3 linked regions of the Caenorhabditis elegans genome follow. The protein of the gene in region 1 interacts with the protein of each later gene in a biochemical or structural test. Each region holds a gene or a part of one and is shown on either strand. Other genes may lie near its edges.

The links. The genes of interacting proteins can lie anywhere in the genome.
Region 2: the proteins of flp-4 (region 1) and dmsr-1 interact in a test that uses a peptide from one of them, tested with the Caenorhabditis elegans proteins (one large-scale study listed by BioGRID).
Region 3: the proteins of flp-4 (region 1) and dmsr-7 interact in a test that uses a peptide from one of them, tested with the Caenorhabditis elegans proteins (one large-scale study listed by BioGRID).

The regions. Positions count from the first base shown.
Region 1 is NC_003280.10:10,047,164-10,054,885, forward strand, and holds the start of flp-4 (FMRF-Like Peptide), read left to right. Parts: upstream 1-1,704; 5' UTR 1,705-1,888; intron 1,889-7,461; 5' UTR 7,462-7,475; coding exon 7,476-7,625; intron 7,626-7,676; coding exon 7,677-7,722.
Region 2 is NC_003283.11:11,436,844-11,442,066, forward strand, and holds dmsr-1 (G-protein coupled receptor dmsr-1), read left to right. Parts: upstream 1-1,926; 5' UTR 1,927-1,974; coding exon 1,975-2,045; intron 2,046-2,324; coding exon 2,325-2,641; intron 2,642-2,692; coding exon 2,693-2,952; intron 2,953-3,247; coding exon 3,248-3,715; intron 3,716-4,096; coding exon 4,097-4,282; intron 4,283-4,343; coding exon 4,344-4,574; 3' UTR 4,575-4,721; downstream 4,722-5,223. UniProt on the Caenorhabditis elegans protein: G-protein coupled receptor.
Region 3 is NC_003283.11:5,403,791-5,408,888, forward strand, and holds dmsr-7 (G-protein coupled receptors family 1 profile domain-containing protein), read left to right. Parts: upstream 1-1,562; 5' UTR 1,563-1,579; coding exon 1,580-1,665; intron 1,666-1,732; coding exon 1,733-1,945; intron 1,946-2,800; coding exon 2,801-2,944; intron 2,945-3,140; coding exon 3,141-3,399; intron 3,400-3,447; coding exon 3,448-3,578; intron 3,579-3,626; coding exon 3,627-3,752; intron 3,753-3,963; coding exon 3,964-4,104; intron 4,105-4,168; coding exon 4,169-4,243; intron 4,244-4,293; coding exon 4,294-4,408; 3' UTR 4,409-4,596; downstream 4,597-5,098. Other genes in the region: C25A6.1 (Serine/threonine-protein phosphatase), read left to right, coding at 4,738-5,061.

The DNA of each region.
Region 1 (7,722 bases):
GGGTTTCCCTATAAATAAAATAGAAATATAGTGAAAACATAGTGGCAAATGATATTGAATATGCTATAGACTTGGTAGAACACATTGAGTAGTTTGATGACTCGGACGTGAATAAGTAATTTGAAAAAAATAGCTTCCGCTGACTAAGCCCCTTTTAGAATTGCACAGCATTCTTTCAGATTTTCAATAATTTAATAATTTAAAATGACGATTTCGTCTTGTTTTGCACTACTTGTAGTATTTATAGTGCTTCCCAAATATCTTGAAATGTGTAATTGAAAGCCTGCGGGTTTAATAGAAAATTAAGCAGCATTTTTCTTTTTTTGTAGATGCTTTTCAATTTTTTTGGATTTTGTGGAGATGTTATGTTCTTTAATATTTATTCAAAAAAGGAGACAACTGGTAAAGTTAAATTTTTGCATCAAAACTTTTCCGAATAGATCTGTGGTCTTTTTTGGTAAATTGCCGAGTTTTGGAAAATTATAAAATTACCAAAGTTATTAGAAAAATAGTCCAATACGAACAATTTTTTTGATTTTTCATGCCCCAATCCGGAGCCCACACAAATACTTTTGAACTACATAACCATTTCCTCAATTTCCCCACGTACAAGTGGTTGCAAATTGTGCATTTCCTTCTCCTCCGAGCAGAAGATTGTTTGGATGAGTTGTCTGGATTATTTTTGGATCAGGAGCAATTTTCTGTTTATTAAAGAAAAGCGCAGAAAATAACACGAAAAAAAAGGCTTGATTTCTTGGTTCTTATTTTGTGCATGTTTTAGCGAAATTGCAAAATGTTGACCGATCTGATTTTCATAATTAGGAAAATGTTAAGACTTACTTATCTTTAGTGATTTCCCGAGACCTACGGATTCGGATTTTATTTTTGCAAAAAAGGAAAGTAAAATGAATAATTTCAATAATTCATTTAACTGTCTTTAAAAAATTTGAGCACTTGTTCCAATATTAAAAGTGTTCTATCATTTGCGGGGTTCCCAAAAAATCCTGCTATTGTTTTTTGTGGGATTTAAACTTTTTCAGCTCTTCAAATCAATAGGCTATTGGTGCATATATTGTCTTCTGACGTTTTTTTTCAGTTTCTATATAAAATTTTTGTACTTCCTTCTAATTTGACAGAATAATTCTAAAATCACATATTTGAACTGTGGGCGCTGAATTTTTTTGAAGAGCATGAATTTGAACCCGCAGCGACGGGTCTTTATTTTACAATACAGACGTTTTCCAAAGTTTCCCGGTTTTCCCCGAATATTCCAAAAGTTTCTAGAGTTTCTAGAAGGTTCTCAACCTTTCCTAAATTTTCTAAAATAAATTCGAAAGCCAACATCTACGCAAGATAATTTTTCAGTCGAACTACGGTAGTTTTCAATCAACTTTATCTAAAAATAGCCGAAAACCCCCATTACCTCCTAGTTTGGTATTCCAAAAGATCAAACTTATTGGGGTAGTTGGACCCCCATCCATCTTTTGGCACGTTTCATTCCCGAAGTTCCGTCATAAATTCGATGTCCCCCTCCACCTAATCATTGATTCGTCATGCCTTGTCAGACAAAACCCACGTCTTCAGCTTTTTGGTCGTACCACAATTTTTTCTCCAATGATTCCATCATCATTCCTCATTCCCCAGCTCGTAAAGAACTCAATAAAACTGTCCTCTTCTTCCTCAACCCATTCCTACTTATTCTACATATATTCCAACTTCCAGTGTCCATTCCATTCTCCTTTTTTGTGCTGTCTCCTTATTCTGTTTCCTTTTTTCCCCTATTCAACATCATTCCAGTCACATTCATTTGATTGCGCACTAGGCTCCGCCTGCTCACGCCTTTCTTCGCAAATTCATATTTGGATCTCAATATTTCCGCAAAAAATTGGTAGGTTTTTTTTCGCTTTGACATCAATAGATCTAGTTGACGTGAAAAGCAAACTGGCAAAAATGTTCTTTGAAATTCATGAAATTTGACAAAAAGTTTTGGTCTAACAGCAGTATCTTGAGGCCACAATGGAGCATAACCAGAAAACGTGGTGTATCTGACTGTTTTTTTTTCTGGAAAATCTTCAATTTTTTCGAGGAACTTCTTGAAGATTGTTGTTGTTTGGTTTAGTCTACGTGACCATTTGTAGCTGCCATAGTTATTTTCATTTTTCGTTTCAGAAATCGGAAATTGGTTTTGCTTGAAAACTAGCGAAAAGTGGGCGTCAAACGATTATTACTAAACACATATTGTTGATTAACTTCTAGAGTTTTTATTGGAGTATTTGACGTTAGCCATTGCAACGTCATTCATACAAGTATTTATATAAGACAATGTACATTTTTTCGTTCATAATTTTCTTGAGGTATGTCTAGTGTCTAGTGTATCAAATTTCTAGATATGTATTGTGGATCTAAATTTAGGGTATCTCCAAAGAGTTATACAAGGTTGTTTTCCAAATTAGCACCTCTAAATAATCGAACCTACATGATTTGAAATTGCTTTAAAAAAATTTTTTGTTTGAAAATTTACCAGTTTTTCAAAACATTTACTAAACATTTATTCAATACAGTAATGCATTTCAAAGCTTTTTATGACTTGAAAAAGCTATAGAGTACATAAATCTAAGCCCAAAAAAAAAACCGCAGACTTGTTTTTTATAAATTTAAAAAATCTTGAATTCAAAACACGTGTTCAATTTTGGCTTCTTACATGTATTGTTTTTAATAAATGTTCCGATGAAATCTGCAAGCCGATTTACTAGACTTACAAGAATAATTTCTGACTATTCATTGTTAATCTATAATCTTCTTATCATGTTACATATTATCTAGTTAGTCATTTTCTTGTCTTGTTCTGTTTTCAATTTCACTCATTTGCTCTCATATTTCTTTTTCCTGAATTGAACCTTGGACGCTCAAAAGCTAATCGAAGAAAAATTGCCGAGATTCGGGAATTTTGATTGATGTTGTCGAATTAGTTGTTGCTTGTTCGAAAGTGACAACATCAGACAAAAACACACACGGATTTTGAATTATTACCTATCCATGTTCCTTTGATTTTCTATTAAATTGTCCTTTAAGGTTTCAAAAATGTTCGGAAAACGTAGGTGTAACCTGAAGAGTTAGGAGGAACGTCTATTTATGGTCCATCCAAAAATAGTTGTTGTTATTCAATTTGCGGCACCGAATCTTCAGATATTCGAAAGTTAAGAAAAACAAGAAGTTAGCTTTTAGGACTGAAAGACAGCTTCCTGCAAAAATGTTCTTCTTTTTATGGAAACTTGAGAGCCAAGTTCAAAAGATGAAAAGTTAAGTGGGCGTCTTATTTGTGTGGGCAAAAGAAACTGTAAATACATTTTTAGATTTAGTATATATGCAGGACTACTTTTCTTTCTTGTTATAGTTCTTGTATAGCATCGTCGTATGCACGCACGTCTTCAGGAGTATGTTTTGTATTCATGTTTTTACAACTTTGGCAGTAGTCATGACATATTTCCAAGGAACGTAGGTTACCTTGAAGGCAGGCAGAATATTTTCAGCATAACATGGAAGATTTAAGTTGTTGTTGAATTACGTAGACAACAAAATAACATTTTGAGAGTTCTTTCTTTGCTAATTGTATTTACGTCTCCTATAAAAATTGAGCATAGAATAAGATCATTCGTTCAGATTTTCATGCTTCTTGGATCGACTTATAAGTGTACCTTTATATTACGGGCTACAGTAAAATTTCCTTCTTTTTAATTCAAAATCTTCATTCAAACATCTAGCTGCTACACAACAGGGGTGTGAATCAAGGGCTCGAAAACTGGAAATGCCTGATAAATATTTTGCAAATTTTAATATTCCGATTTGGAAGTCGCGTAGTAAAATGGTTTTCAAGGAGCTTCGAGGTCTTCAAATGTTCTTTTTTTTTAGAATTTCAAGCTTTCACGCACTTGATTTACACTCCTGCTCCCTGACTCCATGACTGTTTGATGAGCTCTTTTGAACTTTAGTGGTTTCTGGCTTCTTCAATAGTCCAGACGTAATAAAAAGTGTCCTTCTTTAGAAAATTAAAAGTTGGAATACTTTCCTTAAAACTATGGGAGAAACTTCTCTTACTCTGAGAATTAAGAAACTGTTTATCACTATTTAAAATTCCAGTTGAAGCATCGTGATCACAAAACTCAGAGCTTTACCACAAATCCAGAAAACAGAAAAGAGTTCTTGAAAATTATAAAATCTTTACGTGGGAATCTGAATACGTAGAGAGCTCTGGAAATTTACTTCCAGATAGGAATTTCTATCATTACACCGGGAAAAATATATCAAAGAACCACCATATTTTTTTATAAAACTCTTCAAAATGTAGTACGTGACTGTAGCCCAACTACTCAATTAATTCCAATTGCGTCATTTTTCCAAAAAGGCATTTCTCAAAATTTTCTCAGGATTTTCCTTTTCAATCCATCATATTTTCCAATTATTCTCAGATCAAACCACGCACCATGACAATTTTTCCACATTTTCCAATCCAATTTTTAATCAAACTGATTCTGATAACTCATATCACACCTAATAAAGTAATTCTACACCACGAGTTTGTACGCACAAATCTACAAATTGTGACCAATATCCAGTGAATTTCTTAGTATTTTTGCATGCATTTTTAAGCACCTCCAACTGTTCTTCACATTTCTTATTATTCCGTTCTTTTTCTTTTTTCTCTGCTGGGACACATTTTCAGCGCCGTGTGACGTCATATAATTCATTGAAATTTTAGAGTTTCAATGTGGTATTAGAATTAAATGTATTTTTGCTGTACAAAGAATATTCATTTTCAAAATACTTATTAGGTTTCATTATGCCACACTACCTGACTGATCATCTGTTACAGTTACCTATGTGATGAGTTTTCGTGATAGAAAATCCGGAAAAAGACACGGATGTGATTTTTGACTATGCTTAATCCTGAGAGACATCCATTATCGCAAACAATAGAACCTAAAAGAAAAATTAGAGTTTAAGATAAATGTTAAGGTTATTCAAAAAATAGACTTTTGATCTTATTTGAAATGGCATGCGGAAGAAACTATGAATGAACGAAGTTTATGACAAAGATCTGAATCCTACGCAGTACGATAATTTTCCTGAACGAAAAACAGTAGAAAGCTTTCAAATGAAGAACATCCAAGCACATACTGTTCGCGTTATTTTACTTTGAAATGATCTCTAAAGGCCCCCAAAATGCTTACCTGCGTGCCTCTTGGACATTTTGTGATAGTTTCGATGATATGTATTTTTGTGCCTATGAATAGGCTAGGTGATAGATTTCCTTGTTTTAAGACAAACACTTCCAGCAAGCTTTTGAAACTAGACTAAACTTATCACAATTCTAATTTTATTCCTAAGATCGCATTGTCAATTCACTTTCCGAAGATCATCTCGTCCATTAAAAGATTATTCTTTTTCACAGTGTAACCTAAACCTTGATTCATTAAAACATGAAAATGTAAGCAATAGATTAATATTAATCCTAATCTTAGACTAAAGTCTGATATGTGTCGTAATAATACCCCTTTGGTATTTAGTTAAGGTTTTTTGAACTGAAGGTTTAAGTATAAATACCTAAGAAATCCACTCTTACAACATTAGTTTCAGCTTTTGAATTTGGCAAAGTGGTGAGTTCAACTTTTGACTCTGTCTTATTCATTAGAAGTTTTATTCTCCATTTTGAAAATCTATCAGCTTCTGAAATCTTATCAAAATCACTGAATTCCAGCAATTATGGAGATCAATTGACAATCTACATACATGAATAGGTAGGCATTTTTTGCCTACACTCAACAAAGTTTATGACCACGTTCGAGACAGTAAATAGGTGATTTACTAATTGAAGTTAACCCGTCACTACCGTAACCCTAGAGACCAATAGATATAGACACAAACTAAAAACCAAAGGATTATATTTCATTGAAAACCAAAACGTCTGTAATAATTTCTTTAGACACATAAAAGAAGCTCGACTAAAAAATATTAGTTATTTTAGAAGCTTAAGTCTATAATTAATCCCTTCCGAGGAGGTTAATGTGAGTTTGAAGTTTTAATAAGGATCTTTTATAAATTCGTATTGTTTACAAACTTATAATTTTTGATCCATCGGATAACAGAACATGGATTCAACGCATAATATCTGAAATTGACAAGTTTGAAAAATTTGGCTGGCTCTAAAGATTTAGTTCTGGTGTTTTTTCCAGCTATCCTTTAAGCTTCAGAAATTTGTTTGGAGAACCATTGATTTTTGTTTAAATTTCATAGAACTACTTCTAACGGACCACCAGCATAATTTTGAACCCTTGACGTCAGACCACACCCACATTTCCTTCTTTTCCAACAGAAATTATGCAAAATTTGAAAGTTCAAGAGACTTCACCACTCAAATGCTCATATCGGGTGTCCAATCAGCTCGTATAATGTTCAGAATAGTTCTCATGTTTCATTACTTATTATAAAAAAGGTCTTTCGGTCTTTCACTTCTTACGTGGGGGCTCAATGTCTTCCAGGAATCGGGCGCACCGGTCTTGATGTTCTCCGAGATATTTCTTTGCATTATTGATACGTTTTTTTAAATTTTCTTTCTTCTCTCTTTGACGTGCGTTTTTGTGTCATTGGATATTTAAATAAAATATTACGATTAGCCAATAAATAGTATTTACCGTATTTTTAATTAGTCCCAGGGTGAACAGTATAAGAGAATAATTGAAAACTTTTTAATCAACTCAATGATAATTTAGAATAATCCCGATCAATTTTCAATCTCCAACCTTTTCCGAAAACTATTCCACACGCCTCATTGCAGATGTTTTTTTTTGAGAATTGAACCAAAATGTCTAGATAACAAAAATCAGCTTGCACAGGAAATATTTAGCACGTCAAAGTTTTCAAAAATTACGTCAAAATGTTGAAGATGCGTCAGTTGAGAAACATTGGTGATTGAGTTTTTGAATAAAAGGCTTGAAGTTTGTGAAAACGGATGTGCGTTTTTGTTTTTTAGGAAACCTATCACTTTTAGACACCAGTGAAATGTTATTTCCTCTATTTTTGGAGAATTATTGAAGTACAATTGTTTCATGGTATTTTCCAACTGAACGTCAATTTTTTTTTAAACAGGTAAACCAGAAATGCCAAAAAAGCAACCAAAAAAAGTGTTCGAATTTCGTTTTCAGGCGAAACAAAAATTAAAAAATTTTGAGCTGGGTGCGGCCAAACTTTGGGCAATCCCGGTTTATTCACCCTTTGTTTAAGTTAATATTGATAAATTACTTGTCCTCTAATTTTTTAATCCAACCATTATCAACGTCACACTGACTCCACCCCTTTATCAATTGTTCTCCGTTTCTTTTAAAAGCACCTGCTCAACCTTTTCGTCGCATAATTTTCCGCTTCAAGCTCCCCCTTCCCCTTCTTCATTATTTCTGCAATTTTCAGACAACTACAGCGACATGAACGCCTTCTCCTCTTCCCTTAAAACATTCATCTTCTCCTTGCTTTTTGCCACGTTGCTTGCACTCACAGCAGCTCATCCACCGTCATCTGGTGAAGAAATTGCTGAGCAAGAAGAGAAGAATATTGCAAGTCCAGATGAACTTATTGTAAGATTTTTAAAAATTGAGAAAAGTTATAAAAATAAATGAATGTTTCAGCCGGAAATTGTCGAGCAGCAAAACTTCTGGCCACCAGTGCATCTTC
Region 2 (5,223 bases), on another chromosome or scaffold:
TCAACATCCGTCGGTTTTTTTATTTGGCCCCGTACCTTCCATCTTTTTCTCCGAGTTTGATACTTCTTGTGGGTACTTTTTGTACTCTCACTCGTATCATACTTCTTGATAGGTCTTCTCAACTATCAACTTGTTTACAAGTTTGTAATATTTTTAGAATTTTCTGTTCTGTAAATATGTTTACATGTTGTTGGATTTTGATGTTTTAAGTATAAAGGATTTGATTGCATTGTGGAAACTTTTGGCGTTGCATTTTAAAGTTCGACGTCACAAAAAATAATTTTAAAAAGTAAAATAAGAGAAGTTATAATAATCCTTATTTTTCAGCTATTTTTCAATACAATTTAATACACAAAAATGATTTAACAAGCAATATAGGAAAATCCGACCTAACCGGACTTCCATCATTTTCCTTCCCCTAACTCAAAAGTAATTATGCTTAAAATTTTCAATACTTGGGATATGTTTGCCAGTGGAGTTTGATCTTGTACCTTTTACTTTTTTATCGTAACTTCAAACCGAATTCCGGCAAATATTTTCATTTTCAGCATAAACTTTTGTCGTTTTCTTTAATGATAAGTGCGAAAAATTCCTCTGGCACGAGAGTCAGCTCAATGAGTTTTTTTCCTGAAGTGACTCCGGAAATGGGTGCTCACCTGACATGTGGTCACGGATCAACACATGACTAACTTTGGAAATATCTATCCAAACCTTATCCGCTCTGTAATTAGAGTTGGAGCGCGCTAGGCCGCCTCACACACTTCCGAGCGCTGACCGAAATTTGGTTATATTCTGATGTTATTTTTTGTCGGGGAGAGATGCGTTGCACCCCGCTCTGCGTTTATCTGTCCGTGCTCAACATAAAAAAGGTTCTTTTTTTTGAGTAAAAAAGCAACAAATTCCGCCCATGCTTAGATACTGGGCCCATCATGGCGGCGAACGGAAGGACTAGGAAGCGAGGCTTGTTTTGAGTTTCTTTTAGTGATCGAATAGCGGTTGGAAGTAGATACGGATATTGCACATATATATATATATATATATATATATATATATATATATATATGTGTGTGTTTTGAAGTGAAGAGACAGTGAAATAGTGACAAAAAGCTGTTGAGATATCCATTTAGGTTTTTGAATTTTCTATTTTTCAAAATGCGTAACGTTTATGGTTTTTAATGACGTGATGTCTCTCTGAAATAGCGGGCATTTAAAAACAACTCTTCTTCCAAGTGATAGAAAAAGAAATAATTATCAATTTATTTTTCCAAGTGCCTGGAATTTGTGACATTTTCTTTGTAATCGAATACATGCTCAATTGCCGAAATTGTGTAGCGGCAAAAAAATTAATCAAAAAACGAATGTGAATATGAATTTGGTATAGTGCATATCAATTTTTCCGAAAATTTGTGTACTTTTGAATGTATTAATCTTGTTCAGTTTATGCAAATTATTCCTTCTGAAGTTCATTCAAAACTTTTTGGCTCTCTTTTTTCAATTGTACTCTTAATTTTCCCAGTAAAAAAATCATTAAACTTCCTGTGCTATTTTTATTTTTATATTTTCTGATTTTGCAACTCCTTCAATTTCTGAATAATGATTTCTTTAAGGAAGTTTTATCTGCAAGATCTCCCTAATTGGCAATAATTGGTGTTTATCTTAGATTTTTGAGCAAAAGCTTGCAGTATATTTTTGTTAGTTTTTTTGTTCCAAAAAAACACACTCACCCTATTATTTGAGTGTTTTTGTTTTAAAAAGTGAATGAGCAATGTGTTGCCAAATCTTTGTCCCTTTTGTCATTTTTTTCATAGTCATCTCTCATTTCTAATGACGTTTTCCGGTTTTCCGAATCGGAGCCGTTTTTCATTTGAACGCTTGTTTTCCTCATTTTCAACGTTTCAATATTAATAAATTGTTGTTTTTTTTCAGATGTTCAAATAGAATCAGAAACAATAGAACAGAGGAACAGCAAACAAAATGGAGTTTACCGAATGCAAAACTACATTTATTCATCTGCCCGATAAAAGTTTTTTATACGATGTTTTTGTGTAAGTTTTACTTTTGTGTCTCAAAAATCTTTCAAATAATTGCCCAGTACTGTTGTATTTGACGTATTTTCAAAAAGTACAGTTTATCATCATTAAAAGTTATCCTATTATTTGTAGAAATCATCCCTAAAAATAGCGAATAAAACCAAGTTATTGAAGAAGGTTATCTTATCTTAAATTATTGTGTCCTCAAAAGTGATGACCATAAAAAAGAGAGCCATTAATAAATATTTCAAGAGCAAAAGTGGAAAAAAGTGAAATTAAACGTTTTTTTTTCAGAAGTGTATATAATTTCTACCATCCTATACATGCCTACTTATCAATATTTCTATGCGTGTTGGGTACAATCGCTAATTTCTGTAACATCGTCGTACTAACGAGACGAACAATGCGAACGCCAGTTAATATGATTTTGACAGCAATGGCATCTTGTGATACAGTTGTGTTATTTTCAAATTTAATATACACAACACATTACTCATTTGTCGCTTTCAAGTTTTGTCATCCGAAACATTGGTCCTACTCTTGGGCGTTATTTTTAATTGCTCATGCTCATCTTTCATTAGTTGCACATTCTTCAAGTGTTTGGTTGTCAGGTAAGCTTTTCATTCTGAAGACAACTGTCCAACTCTTCGATTTTATTGCAGTTATGCTTGCACTTGTTCGATATGTAACACTTCGAAGTAGGGGAAATATGGGTGGTATGCAAGTGACGTTAAGGCATTCTTATTATGCCGTTGCTGTTACTGTATCCCTTGTAGCAGTGCTTAATGCACCGAATTTTCTGAATTACAAAATCAATGAACAGCCATTGAATGAAACGTGTACCGATTTGGATCCAATGTTCTGGAATTCGCCCGCGTATCTTCCTGGAATTGCAGACATTGCAAAAGCAAACAGCTGTCTGGTAAGATTTTTGAATTTCAGTAAAAAAAAAACAAGATTTTTGTTAAAAAATAATGTTTGACAAATTGTATACAAACAAAATTTCTCGAAAAACTTTTTTATTGGAACTTAGATTTATAAACTAAAAATTTTGGCAAGATCATCATAATATAACTTTGAAGCTTTGGATTTATATAAACCTTTTTGGAAATAATTGATCGATCATATGTACATATGATATCATGAAAATTATACAAAATAATATTTATCATCGTGATCGTCACCCTAGCAAAAACCAATTTCCTAATTTCCTGCAGGTCTTCCGGTTATCTTATTGGATATCCGGTATGGTATTCAAAGTATTACCATGTGCGCTTCTATCGTTGTTTGTTTGGCTCCTTTTACGAATTCTTCGTGAAGTGCGTGAGAATCGTCAACGTCTTCTCAAGAACTCGCAACATCGACCACCGAATCAAACGACTACTCGAAACGGACAAAGACTGAGCATTTCAGTTGCAGGCAACGAGAAATTAGGCAGAAATGGAAGCTTACGGGGGAGAGGAGAACGTGTCGATCGGACAACTCATATGTTATTGGCAATTGTAGCAGTTATGCTAGTGACTGAATTACCTCAAGGAATTATGGCTGTCTTGTCTGGAATGTGTTCTGAAGAATTCCGAATTTACATTTATAACAATCTGGGAGACATTCTCGATTTGTTCTCACTTTGCGGTTCATGTTGTTCATTCATCATTTACTGCTCAATGAGTGGACAGTTCAGAAATGTAAGTTTTGATATTACTTGAAAAAAATTTCAATGAGCGACATCTTTTCAAAATACCTCAATGAAAAATGTGTTGTATGCTGTTAGAAAATACTACAAACTTTCTCAACATTCGGTGGAACTTTCCAAGCGAATTTGTCTTTTTTTTCTTTGTTTTCTTACTAACATGATGTTCGGCAGCGTCTTAAAATGCGCTTAAGATCTCTACATTTTCCGACAATTGCGGAGTTGTTTTTACAAGAAAAATCATGGAAGTACATACTTTGCTCATTTTATGAATGTGTGTTTAGTTCATTTTAACACAGGGAACAAGCATTTTCATTTGATTTCTATAAATAAAAATTGGTTCATTTTCAATATAGAAAAATCATAAAATTTTTAGGAATTCCACCGTGTCTTTGTACCTGCAAAGGTGAGATGTCTCCGAATGTCATCGCCGTCGATTCGTCGTCCATCCGACGCCTACAGTACCACAAAAATGACTTTTCTAAAACCAAACGAGAAAAACGGAAATGGAATGAATGGAAATGGCACTTATTCGGAAGATACAAGGTCAGCAAGTGTTAAAGTAAGAATATCAACACATGTTTTTTCTACAAAACTTTTGAATAAGCCATGTTAATTTTCAGATGGTCGGAATCCAGGTACGAAGAAACAGTACGGAAATAACGAGAATGACTGGATGTGATTCAATTACTCCATGTTCTCCAATGCCAACATCATTTCCATCATCCCCACTTCCACCGATTCGAAGTGGAGAAGATGAATCCACTGATGAGACATCACATCTACTTAACAGCTCAGGACCCAACTCAACAGCCAGTGCTGATGGAATTCGTGGACACTTTCAAAACATTTGATATCAGAATTTTTTAAACACACAAATTGCAACACGTGTCAGAACAAAACCATTAGTATTTACCATATTCACGGGTTTCTATTTCAATTTTCTGATTACGTTGATTTCTTCTTAAGCGTGTCCTATTAATGAATCTTGTTTTTTATTAGTAACATACTTTTTTTTTAAATCTTTAAACTTTTCAGAATTGAAAAAAAAAATAAAGTAATTGTTCAGAAATTAAAATTCTTTCAATTTGCATATTGAGGTTATTGATTTATGTATATGACAACCTTTTATGAATGAAAATTGCAGAATTGGGAATATTGTATCCTCGGAGAACTTCAAACTAGCTCCCATAGTAGGTAGACATAGATTGATTTTCATAAGCATTTTTCTGGTTTAAATGAATTTTTTATCATGCCATCACAAAAATATTGATGGCAAACATGACAGTCGTATGTCACCGTGTAATTAAAACACTTACTTAAAAAGGATAATCTTCCAACTTGTAAAAATGTTTCGGCATAGCAATCTTTTATTTGTCAATGGAAAGTAATAGCTAGAGATCAATTAACCGACAAAGTTACCGGGTGCCGAAATGAAAGAGAAAAAAACAGAAAAGCTGACTATAATGAAAGCATCAAGTGGGGGAGAAAAGTAGAAGAAAA
Region 3 (5,098 bases), on another chromosome or scaffold:
TTTTCCTCCTTTTTGCTCGTCACTTTGAAAATAATGCAGTCTCGTCACTGCTTTTCAAGCACTAGAAGCTGCTTGAACTGCAAATTGAATTTGAGGAGAAGCTTCGCCATTTTGTTTCGAGTAAAAAAGACAATGAACACGTTACGTGCGCAATCCACCATTGGTAGCGCCTCTCCTTCCTCCAGTTTTTGCCCCTTTTCAGCTTTTTTCCTGCATTTTTCTCATTTCTCCCCCAATTAGGCTCTCTGCATTTTAAGGTGTTAGAGAATTAGCTAGGTCACTCTTTTGATTTCTTGAAACAAAGATGAAATGTTCAGTGGTCAATAGTCAATAGGCACATCACTTCAATTCCCAAGGGACTTGAGCTTTCTTTCTTCCCCTTTTGACTGCGCCTGCGCCCCTAAACTTTTTTTTTCCACGTTTTCCTTATTCATAAGTCGTGAGAATATTCGATTTTCCGATTCATCTTCTCTGGAAGATGAATTCATTAACTTTGAATGCCACATTTCTGTCTCGAAATCCATTCTGTTTCAAATGTTTCGGTGTGTGTGAAGCAGCACCACACAACAAACATTTTCACAAGATGGCCCCCTGATTTTATATGTTTTATGGTGGCATGAAATACCAAAGTTTAAAACTTTTATACTTAACTAATAAGTTTCTGTTCTAGGTAGGACTAACATGGTAGGCAGGCGCATAAAATTTGAAAGCAATAAATTTGAATTTCGATTAATTTGATGAAAAGCAGGTGGACCTAACTTTGAAGTCCGGCAGGTAGGCAGTCGTTTGGCGCCTACCTAGAAGCCCTAGATCTAGGTTACATGTTCACAAGAAACAGAAAGTTGAGCGAAAGATTAAACATTCACGAACGAGTGTGCTTCACAATTATAATCATCGCAATTATAAAACTGCTGAAAAATATGCTTACTATGTTTTAAAAGACTAGTCTTGCCAAGATAAGTTGGCAGGCATGCCTACATGCCTACCAATTATTTTGTGCATTTTCAAGATCTGCTGAAATCGAAAAAAATTATTTTAAAATGTTTTAAACCCAAATAATAAATATTTTGATAAATATGGCTCTCTTTTACGGTTTCGAGTGTCATTTTTTTTTAAACATGCAAAATTTACAAAAGAATTTACGCGTTTTTTGCAATTTTTCGCTCACTTTGTTTTCGAAAACAAACAAATCTACCGCCCTGGCCGGCAAAAAAATAGGTTTTTTGGTTTTTTTTACTCTAGGAAATAGTTTTTAAAAAATAAAAATCTTCAATCAAAGATTTTTACAATTTTTCAAAGTATTTTCCTGCTATAGAAATAACAACTCACGGAACAAAAATAACTTCCGGCCAGTGACCTATAATTTTGTAAATTTTTTGAAAAACGAAATTATATATTTTGTTCGAAAACTCGATCAGCTTCTTCCACAACAACCGACTGTCATCTAAAAGTTCAAAAAACACAGAACGCATTCCACCCTGTTGCTCTTGGCTTCTTCTGATTTTCTCCTTATGTTTCTTTGTTTCAATGGTCTTTAAAAACCCCTTAAATTTTCAACATTTTGAAGGATGTGCTAGATATGGAATGTCCGCACGATGCTCAGTTGTTTGATCCGAACAGTAACAGTACGCAGGCATTTCTTCGGAAACTTGCACATTTTCAAAGGTTTGTTAAACTATTTTTTGTGCACTTCTTTCAAAAAAAGAAAAATGAACCAATGATTAATTGTCAGATGGTACCAGCCAATTCACGGATATGTATGTGTGCTCATCTGCGTTTTTGGTATCTTCACCAATTTTGTGCATGTGGCAGTTTTATCGAGACCCAACATGCGCAATTCGGCCGTCAACTGCATACTGACAGCAGTGGCTGTCTGTGATATCGGAACAATGGCATCCTATCTCATTTATATTATACATTTTGTCTTACGACGAAATAATTCCTGGTAATTCTTGTGTGTTTATTGGGTGGAAATGTTTTTGTTTTGGGAAATGGAGCGGCGTGGCGGCTTTTGAGTAGGAACATCAACAAATATGGAATTTTTGGAAAAATAACACAAGCTTTAAAATATTTATTTTCTGGTTTTTCCTATTCCAATTTTATGGTGAATTGCAAAACCCGGAAAATGTCGGTCACTTCATAAAAAGGATGTAGAGTTCGAAGGCGCTGATTGGTTTAAAAATAGTCATGGCTTCTCATTTTGGAAAAATTCAAATATGAAAATTCGCAATTTCAAAAATTGGACATTTTTAAATCTTTCTCGATTTTTTAAGTTTCCTTTTTTTTTGATTATGCAGCATATATTTGAATATTTCGAATACTTTGAAACAAAATCCTTATTTTCCAAACTCTACCTCAAACCATTAATAACAAGAATTCAAACTAAGTGTGCTCTTTCTATTGAAAATTTTGAAGGATATTTATATTCTTCTATTTTTCCACTCAAGTATCAACACACACACACAAAAAAACATCCTCAAAGTAATAATGGAATTTCAAAAGTTGAATGCCCATGTTCGTCACTTGCTGCACTTAATTGAAGAGGCATAGAATTTTAGTTGAACCTGGAACTATTTATTTCCTCCTATCCGTTTTATGTGCATCAAAACATGAAAACAACTGCATATTTTATTGATCATAGGAAATTTTGAAAATCGTCACAAAGCTACAAACTACGTGTATTCATAAATAACAAAAGTGAATTCAAGATGAAAAGTCGCTCGTAAAATGATACTGAAAAACACGAAAACAAGCGTTTGCAATGAAACTCAATAATTTTTATTATTAGATTTTATTACAGCACTCCAACGTTCACTCATTCTTGGTTACAATTCCTATTGTGGCATGTTGTTTTGAGCATCACACTACACACAACTTCTTTATGGCTCGCTGTGGCGATGGCGTTCATTCGGAGGATGACATTAAGGGTTACCGCTTTGAATAGGTATGCTGGGAGCAAAGTTTAAGGGACTAACATTTTTTTATACACTAAGATGAACAAGTTTTGTAATGAAAGTTTTCAAAATTTTTTTCAAACAATGGTAGGTATCCAAAAATATTTAAAATTGAAATTTTACAAAGACATTGCAAGCAATATACCCAGAAACGTTGGCCCCCTTAAAAAATCTGGAAATTTTCAGTCAATGGCAACGACCAAAGTTCGCATGGAAGTTGTGCCTGGGAATCTATATGGTCGTATTTGTACTTTGTATTCCAAATATGCTGGTCCACGAAATCGCCCGTGTAGAAGGAAATGACTGGCGACCTGGCAAAACGTGTCAAAAATTTGCATCGAACTACTCTGAACCGGTGTACACTTTTATGGTCAGCCACGCGGCGACTATCAACAATTGCCGGTTGTTTAAATGGAATATTTGGATGATTGGAATTCTGTTCAAGGTTAGCGAGTACGCGAGTTATCAAATTAAACGTCCTACCAGTTTTCAGATCATTCCATGTATTCTGCTAATTTTCTTGTCTTTCGGCCTTGTATCAAAGATTAGAGACGCAGAAAAGCATCGGAGGAAACTAACGAGTGTTCCGTCAAATGCATCAACAGATTCAAAACCATTGAAAAAGTATAGTCAACTCTCAAAGAACTTTTATGACAAAATGGAAATTTTCAGAAAGAATGGAACATCAGATAGAACCACATTGATGCTTGTTGTTATTTTATTGGTATTTTTAATAACGGAGTTTCCACAAGGAATCATCTCGATTCTTTGCGCAATTTTTACTACAGACGTTCATAGGTAAGATTTGATGTTTAACTAGAAATTTGGCCTGGAAAAACTGAAATCGAACTGCCCCAAGCTTGACCCAATTTTTCTTGAGTCATTTGAATTTTTGGAAATTTGGGTGCAGGCTGAGTCTTGCAAAAGTGTTGCTAAATTTTTGTTGGCCCAATTAAAGCTAAAATTGGGCGCTAAAGAAGTTTTCGAAAAATTAAATTTTCCATTTCAGATACCTCTATTTCTACATTGGTGATGTTCTTGATCTCCTATCGCTTGTCAATTCCTCTGTAAATTTTGTTTTATATTGTGTGATGTCTTCAAGATACCGGCAGACGTTTTGGGAAGTTATCATTCCTTCGTGGGCTTGTGGGTAAGTTCATTCTTATTGAACCAGTTCCTGTTACAGTAGTCTAAAATAAAATTTTTCCTCTCAGATTGTGGACGACCCGTCGTGGTTCTCCGACGGAACTTTCACAGCTTCAGTTGAACAACAGCTTACGACTAGGAAGGTCAGTTAATTTGTTTTTGAAGTCTGGAAAATATTATCTTTAATTTGCAGAAAACAAAGCTATACGCCACTGGCAACTGAACCGGAACCAGCACGCAATGAGTATTGGCGGTATGAAGCTTCCGTGTCGGACAATCAGAACAGCAGTAGAGAACATCAACTTTAAATTCCAATTTTTTCGATCTCGGTACAAATTCCCTTTGCAGATTTTTTGTGATATCTTGCTCATTTTCATAGCTTTCGCATTTTCTATTCTATTCTTGTTACGGGTACTTTTTGTTTTTTATTAATTCAGTTTTTATATAAATCAATATGGTTTACAAAATTATTAAATTATTCACGGCGCCGTGAAAAAAAAATTGTTTACAAAAAGACACGTAGATGTGAGTAAAACTAGGAAAAAAAATTATTTTCAATTGAAAGTGATTTCCGAAAGGTGAGTTCTCTTTTTCTCTTCCAGGAATCAAAAGTTAAAAAGGTTTGATGTTTTAGATTATGAAAGACGACGTCGTTGACAACATAATAATTGATGTCCTGAGCGCTAGTACTCACGAAAAGCTACTTTCCGAAGTGATCACGGAAGGACGAGTTCTAAAGCTTCTCGATTTGGCACTGGATGTATTTAAAAGACAGAAATCAATGGTTGAAATGAATGCTCCGATAAAGGTGTGCGGTGACATCCATGGACAATTCCCGGATCTTCTTCGTCTCTTCCATCGTGGTGGATGGCCGCCGACTGCGAATTATTTATTCCTTGGTGACTATGTGGACCGTGGAAGATTTAGCATTGAAACCATTGTTCTTCTTCTCGCTTATAAGGTTTGTTGCTTTAAGTTTTGCAAAAAGAAGCTAGGAT